Linked DNA regions of Nothobranchius furzeri. The protein of the gene in region 2 interacts with the protein of the main gene of each other region in a pairwise test. Links are inferred from orthologs where the notes say so. Each region holds a gene or a part of one and is shown on either strand. Other genes may lie near its edges.

Region 1 (3,827 bases), on a different chromosome or scaffold from region 2:
CAGTGTGAACTTTGACCTTGGAATTTAAAGTTTTACTACAGGAAGTTCAGGGCTGATCCAGTTCCCTTGGTCAGCAGCAGAACCTCCTTCCTGCTGTTCCTCAGAGGAAAACAGACACTGTTGAGCGAGGATGAACTTTAATCTGCTCACAAACAAGATCACAGTGAATCATTTCCAGCCTAAAGAGAAGTGGAACAGATCAGTGAGCAGAACCAACGGGGCTTACTCAGCATGAACCCCACAGGAACACGGCCGTCGGCAGCATTACAACTCACGTTTATTCACAGGAGAAACAAGAGTCATTAAACAAGTCCAGCATATCTGGGACCGCTCCGTCTGTCACTGCGTCCTGCGGAGACACCTTCACATCCGGATGGTGTAGGAATCCGAACAGGTGACGTAGCGGACCCAGCGCTGCAGTGGGCCAGGCTGGACTGGAGACAGTCGCAGGAAGCGGATCTGAAGCCCAGTGGCGGTGAACTTCGGAAGCTCAAAGCTCAGACCGACTGGACCCACTTCCAACATGGAAGCCGAACTCAGACCTGGAACCTCCAGCTGAGGAGGGAGACAATGGTTCTGTTAGCACCAGGACACCTAGGTGTGTGTGTGTGTGTGACTTTTGGAACCACCTTGAACAGAGCTGATAGCTGAGTCCCTCCAGGGAAGCGGGGGACCTCCCAGACCACGGCTCTGCTCTGCAGCTTCAGCTCGGCTCTCTGGTCTGGACTACTGAGCTCCTGAGACAAACTGAACCAACGACACACGGTTTACAGTTGACACCCCCACACCCAGGTTTCGTTTCGTTTTATTGAGATCCTCATTAGCTTCTGCCTAAGTGCAGATGCTAGTCTTCCTGGGGTCTCATACATTTTCATACAATTGTTTACATAAGATAATACCCTACAAACACACACACACACACACACACATCCCTAATTCACATAATACCAGTAGCTCAAGATGAAATCACATATCTAGAACAAAATGACATATATAAATTAATATCGGGAAAGGAGTTAATCACACCAATAAAGATTGAAAATAAAATATAACAGAATGGTGACATCATGTCCATTGTTTCGTATCATAGCTCATCGATATCCAGTATTCGACCTCAAACCCAGATTCTCAATCCTTCGTTGCAGAGTTCATAGTCACTGTACAATTAAGTGTGTAAACAAAAAAAAATTTCAGTTTCTACTGAAAATAAATGTTATTACTTTCAAAAATTAAAAATCTAGGTAATGCATTCCATGCAATCATAGCTTTATAGTGAAAAGATCCTTGAATTTGATTAGTTCTACTGCGTGGTAAAACACCTTTCATCTCATTTATCTGTCGTGTATTATAAGTATGATTATCTGAAAAAAAAACAATAATTTGCTATGTATAATTTTTGGTGTTTTTGTAATTATTATTTTCCTCACAGTTGTTACCAAGAAATACTTCAATCTACTCTTCACATCAAGCCAAGCAAGTTTTTCATGCATGGTTCCCACATTCGTTCTGTAAGGGCAGCCTAAAACAATACGAGCAGCTTTATTTTGTGCTACTTGTAGCTTATGCAAATTATTTTCACTTGTACTGGACCAAATAATAGATGCTTGATCTACACAAGAAAGCACTAATGATTGAACAAGGCATTTAAGTAAATATTGTGGTATAAATTTGCAACAAAATTTAATTATGCCCATACCTCTCCCCATTTTGCGTAAAACATAATTAATCTGGCTTGTCCATGATAACTTACAATCAACTATTACTCCCAGTAATTTTACTTCTTCTAGTTGTTCCATTACATTGTTACTCAGAGTTAAATGTAACTTTGGCATCGTCTGTAAAGTATGTTTGGAGCCAACTACCATGCATTTAGTTTTTCCTGCAATAATCACTAGTTTGTTAGCAGTTATCCACTGCTCGACTGTTCTCAACTCTTTATTTAATATTTCATTCAGTGCACTCTCCGTATGTGCTGAAGCTAAAACAGTAATATCATCTGCATATACTGCTGTAGTCGCATGTTGCAGCACCCACGGAAAATCATAAAAAAAAAGAAAACAAAAGAGGTCCCAAACAACTTCCCTGTGGAACACCACATTCCATCAGACCCTTTTCAGAAAAACTGCCATTGAAATAAAATTGATATTCTCTGTCAGTAAGATAACTTTTAGTCCAGTTAAGAGCAGATGTATGAAATCCATAGTGTTTAAGTTTTTGTAGTAAAATTTCATGATCTAAAACATCAAAAGCCGCAATTAAATCAAGAAATATAGAACCAATTAGCTTATTATTATCGATATTCTCTAAGCAATAATCAGTTGTTTGAATAAGTGCAGTAGTGGTTGAGTGATTTGTTTTGTAAGCATGTTGATATTTTGTGTTCAATTCATTTACCTCAAAATTATCTTGAATTTGGTCATATGCAATTTTTTCCATGATTTTACTTAACGCTGGTAGCAAACTTATTGGTCGACTGTTTTGACCAGACAGTGGTTCTCTATTGTTCTTAATTAAAGGTATTATTTTTGTTGTTTTCCATTGAGATGGGAAAATACCTTGTTTAAAACTTCCATTCATTATATGAACAATAGGACATGAAATAAAATCTACTAACTTTAACCATTTAATATCAATATCATCTATGCCAGATGGTTTATTTTTACTTTTTAATATTATCTCCTTAACCTTGTCTTCAGTCACTTTATCAAATTGAAATTGGCAGTTTTTATTTAACATTATTTTTTGTTTAATTAGTTGGTAGGAAATATTTTTGGTTTGACTATTTTCCATAGAATCTCGCAACAACTTAATTTTATTAGTTAAAAACTGGTTTAAATAATTAGCAATTTCTGTTGGTTTAGTGAGATAAGTTCTCCCTACATCCAAAAAAGTTGGAGCTGACCTATTATGCCTACCCATCATTTCATTCAATGTACCCCATAATCTTGCACTATCCGATTTTGCATCAGTTAGTCTTTTTTGATAATACAACCGTTTTTATGATTATTTAATTTAGTTACAAAGTTTCGTCCTACCTAGGAGGTAACAGGGTTATATGCTTTGACCTATTGGTCAGCATTTCAGAGATGTTCCAGGTGATGTAACACTGATCTGAGAGCTGCTGCAGGTCAGTCCAACCTTAACCTGTTTAACCCTAACACCTCTGGGGCCTCTACAGTTTCATGTCCCAAACATCTACAACGGTCCTCATTCGCCACACACAACTAAAGCCACAATTAAAACAGCCCAGATGGGAAACAAGGCCATTTTAAATTGTAATAAATTAAGATACAATGATGTTTGAACTTTATTTTAGAAGAGCATCTGACCTTCACTGGTGTCTGCTGGAAAAAAAACCTTGAACAAATGTAGTTGAGGACCCCTGGAATAAATAAAACAACTGACTAAACTGGAATTTGAACTCACAACCCTGTCAGCACTTTCACACAGGGCAGCTCTTCTAAAATAAAGTTCAAGTATTATTTTACCTTAATGTATCAAAAACCAAAAGTTGCTTTTTTACAATATTTTTAAAAAAATTTTTATTTAAATTTTTTTTTTTGTAATTTACCGTGTCCTGTCTGGCTGTGAAGCAAACAGAAAATGTCTGAATGCTGGTGACAAGCCTTACAGATTTACTCTCAGGTGGAGCATCAAAGCTTCTGCTTTTAATCATATACTTAAAACTTTATTGTTTTTGTTTTTTGAATGCTTTGTAATTCCGACCAGACACGGAGACAGAGGTGAAAGAGAAAGGAAGAGACAAAAGGAAGGGGAAGGGGGTTCCACAAAAACAAACAATCAATGATGAACAAGAGTCTGCTTCT
Region 2 (4,255 bases):
GTAGCAGATAGGCATGCAGATACTGAAAAGCAGCTACTTGGTAAGCTTTGGACCAACCACTGAAGTTTAGGACCATTTTCTGAGCCGTCGTTTATTAGGGTAAGGTGCAGAATTTGAATTTTACTTATGGACCAGCTTCCAGCACTGAAAATCAAGTATTGTAAACTAATTTTAATCACAAAATTCACACTTTACAATTTGTCTCTAGTGCTCTTCATGCGTATGTTAAACACCATGCTTTAGGACACATTACACACACACACACACACCTGAGAAATCCTCTTAATTTCATCACAAACCTTCTGTCTGCTCCTCCAAAACATGTCCTAATCACACGTGGACAGGTGGAATGAAGGGTAGTTTAAAACACTTTTTAAAAAAGCTTCACAATCCTCATAAAAATCAAATCGGGGATAAAGAATACTGAATCACGGGGAACTTATAACATAGTATTGAATTAGTATTGAATTAATTTATTACTTCTGCCATTTCTGTTTTCGGCGCTTCTTTGAGAAGCTTGTAATCTTGGCAAAAAGTGACTGGCCGGTCGCAAAAAGAAGCTGCAGCTGACAACACACGAGTGTATTATGAGATTAAATGTTATTTTTACCTTGGATATAATCACAAGGTGCTGACATGAAACCAAAGTCGTGTACGTAAAATACAAATCAGTATTTGCACATCTAAAAACGTAGATGCACTGTAGTATCGGTTATTTCAGTTTTCCATCATTAAAGGTTTGTTTTCCCTTCTCTTATGCACGGGCATATTACAAGGTGACAATGCAAGAATTCAGCAAGCTGAAACAGAGAAACAAGGTTTTTTTTTCAAGTGGATTTGTCATCAGGGTCAATGCCCTACATCATGTGATGGAGAAACAGTGAGAACAAGAATAATAAAGAAAAAACTGATTCAGTGACATCACTTGCTAAAACTATACCTCAGAAAATGTGTAATCAAAGCTGAACATGCTTTAAATAATTTATTTGAGTTGAGGGTATAATCCAAAAGTCTTCTTGGTCTCTAAATTAAACCATTTTCTGCCGTTAAAACACCCCGACAAACCTAAAAAGCTGTTATAACAATAAAAACCCAACTTTATTAACTATATACTTTGTTTTAGAGCAAAAATTCAAACTGTATCACTCAGTCAAGTATTCAAGTCAGGACAATATACAACACCTGCTCAAGTGTCAGTTTTTAAAAGATCTCAACAGCAACATTGTCCCATGTTGTCCCTGTAAAAGTAATCTATCATCAGATTGTCCTGTAACAAAATTCCATACAGCTGTGTGTCATTTAAATCTCTATTTGGAGCATTTGAAGCTGCCTAACCTTACAGAGGTAACACGAACCTCCTTAAATCCAAAAATGGATTAAAGCAAGCATGCTTCAGTGGAACAAGGTGGAAAAATGATACAGTAACCACCAACGGTAACTAAGATCATATATGGCAGGTAAGACGGTTTGTTTACAATTTTTTTGTTATTTCCCTTATATGCCCAAGTTGTTGTATAAAAAGTTAAAAGTATACTTCACACAAACACAAGTCATCCTTCTTGTGTAAACCGTTATTAATCTAACATGAATGTGGGCAAATAGGGGCAAGTTAAGCACGAATATTTATAAAAAATAATTGTGTATCAATTAGCTCTTTGTAAAACTTGGTGTTTCTAATAAATGTGAGTCTATGCTTATGAAGTTGAAAAGGAAATAAAACCACATAAATAAACAGTGACAGATGTTTCAAGAATCCTATAAACGGAATGCAAATATGCGAGTAGAGCCCTTTAATAGATTCATGTTGGCCTCCAGACTTTCAACAACACATCCAAATACTAGAAACAGTTCCTCCTTTGTGAAAGATTACAACAAAGTAGGGTCGATCACAAAGCAGCGTGCGTTTTGTTAAGATAAAATTGTGTTTTTATCTCGTCACTACGCCAAACAGTAAAGTAAATGTTACCTCATCTTCACCAAACGCAAGTTTACCGAGAATATTAAAGAAGAAAGGGCGCACATTCGACTACTTCCATTTTACCAGCACAAACTCTACGTTAACCACACATGAACCTTAGGAAGTCAAGAGTCAACTGCTCACTAAAATACGTTCATAAACGTTTGATTTAAGCCAAGTTTTACTGTGTGTCATTCAAAATAAATTTTGTAGATATTTGCGCTTGGTTTGTCAATTTTAAAACACTACTGGATCTAATGTCAGAGTCGTCGCATCAGACCAGCTTTAAAAAAGCTAACAACGTCAAATAGCCAAATCCCACAAGCTAATGTTATGCAAGTTAGCTAACAAATGTTGACAAATTTGAGATGTCGTCTATGTTTGAACGCAATGTCAACACAAACGTTTAGGAAGGTTTAAAGTTTGGGAGTATCAGACGCTAAATGTGATGGATAAATGGCAGAACATTCGCTGTTGTTTATATCAAACTGCTTTTAAAAATCCACTAAGCTTTAGATGAAAGAAACTAGCCGCTAACTGTTAGCGGTTAGCCATGTCAGGATAGGCCGTTCAAGTATGTTAGCTTGGAGTTAGCCACGATACGACACATTAAAATAAAGTGGTGACAAAGTTTTCCTTTAATTAATGTGCATAATCCGAAAAGGTGATAGGAGGCTAACTCTGGGGTCGGAACAGGGTCATGTTGTAACCTCACCTCTTTGGGTACGAACTGGTTCTCATCGCTAGGCACCATTTCCATTTGTACGACAGTTTAGACAAGCATCTACCCAGACAAGGATGTCATCGAAAAAACTTTGCAGCAGTAAACACAAACATGGTTCGTGTTCAGTTTGTAGGAAGTCTGGATGGATGGACACCAAAAATGCACTTGCCAAAAGTTGTACGCTTATCAAAGTGATCGTAACACTCTCCGATACTCTACTCAAGCTGTCCTGGCTGCTACAAATAGAGAAAAATGGCCGGTGTTTTTATTCCGCGAGACTTCACTCGAGGAGATTTGGCGTCACATTCTATCAATAACGGCAGGCCAATATATCATATAATCAAACGATTATGATCCATTTACTTTCAGGTACCTTCTATCTAGACGGAAGTGTATTACAGTTTGTTAGAAATTAAGTGAGTTATTTAATGTGCAAAATAATTTATAAAAGTTAGATTGTAAAACCTGAACAGCTGCTGTTGTATTTTAAAGAATAATCTGCATATTGGGATGTTTCTGTTCCCACCACTTTTAACAATACATGTCTTTATACTTAATGCACCCATTCATGTTTCCTCAACAAGACCCTTCATCACTATTTTAACCAACTCCATAACGTGCTTCTATCATGTTTTTAAATAAACTTTATTTTCAACTTCCAACATAACAAACACAAAAAACTAATAGGAACATAATACATAGACAAAGTTTATTTAAAAAGTGCCAGGGGTTTGTCAAAGTACAGAATGTAATAATTAATACCTGAGCTGGGATACTCAAAGATAAACACAGATACACATATTTAAAGCTGTCAAGCTCAGAGCAAAGTCATCAGCATATTAGAGTCAGAGCATATTTTCATTGTTTTACCAGCGTTAAGATTGTGTGAGGTACATAACGTGTGCAAATAAAGCTTAACTTACTTTTGAAAATACAGAACAGAGGCTGGGTTTCCATAACTTTGCATTTGTGTACGTAAAACTTAGCCAAAAGCAAAAATAAATTCATTACAAAAAAGCAGATTTGTGTTTCCTTTCATACATAATAGTAAGTAAGTAAGTAAGTAAAAGTTTATTTATATAGCGCCTTTCACAGATATAAATCACAAAGCGCTGTACAACATGATAAAGATCAGGGCAAATACCTCTAACCAATAAAAACATCAGAAAAACAATAGCAGTGATAAACGTAGAAAATAAAATCATGAGTATAAACAAAGTGAAGGTGTGAACCCGAACAAAGCCATCTTTTTGAAACATTTAATAATAATAATAATACATCCAAACAGTAAATTTTTTAATTGAAGCTGGAAGGAATGCAGATTTTTTCCCCCACAAAGATTCTTCCACTGTTATTGTGTGAATGGAAATGACCAAAATGTGGAAGGTTGTCACAGTCATCATTTTTACCATAACTTGCTTTTTATGCTGACTAAAGCAACGCTTCACCCAAAAGGTGCTTGTTCTTCACAGTCCCACAGTGACTTAATGTGTGCTGAATTAATTTGAAAGTATCAAAAAGCTACGACGTGAGACAAAAACTAAACTGTGACAAAATGTATCAAAAACAGTGGT

What was found.
Region 1: the proteins of usp47 (region 2) and ap4m1 interact in binary tests that used the Homo sapiens proteins (3 or more experiments, as listed by UniProt). The two-hybrid records come from large-scale screens. The link is inferred for Nothobranchius furzeri from reciprocal best matches to the Homo sapiens genes USP47 and AP4M1.

Annotation. Positions count from the first base shown.
Region 1 is NC_091750.1:26,818,558-26,822,384, reverse strand, and holds the end of ap4m1 (AP-4 complex subunit mu-1), read right to left. Parts: coding exon of another isoform or gene 3,681-3,827; exon of another isoform or gene 3,571-3,680; intron 748-3,570; coding exon 630-747; intron 556-629; coding exon 364-555; 3' UTR 121-363; downstream 1-120. UniProt on the Homo sapiens protein: Component of the adaptor protein complex 4 (AP-4). Adaptor protein complexes are vesicle coat components involved both in vesicle formation and cargo selection. They control the vesicular transport of proteins in different trafficking pathways.
Region 2 is NC_091749.1:58,085,652-58,089,906, forward strand, and holds the start of usp47 (ubiquitin carboxyl-terminal hydrolase 47), read right to left. Parts: upstream 2,907-4,255; 5' UTR 2,718-2,906; coding exon 2,673-2,717; intron 556-2,672; exon of another isoform or gene 324-555; coding exon of another isoform or gene 300-323; intron 1-299. UniProt on the Homo sapiens protein: Ubiquitin-specific protease that specifically deubiquitinates monoubiquitinated DNA polymerase beta (POLB), stabilizing POLB thereby playing a role in base-excision repair (BER). Acts as a regulator of cell growth and genome integrity.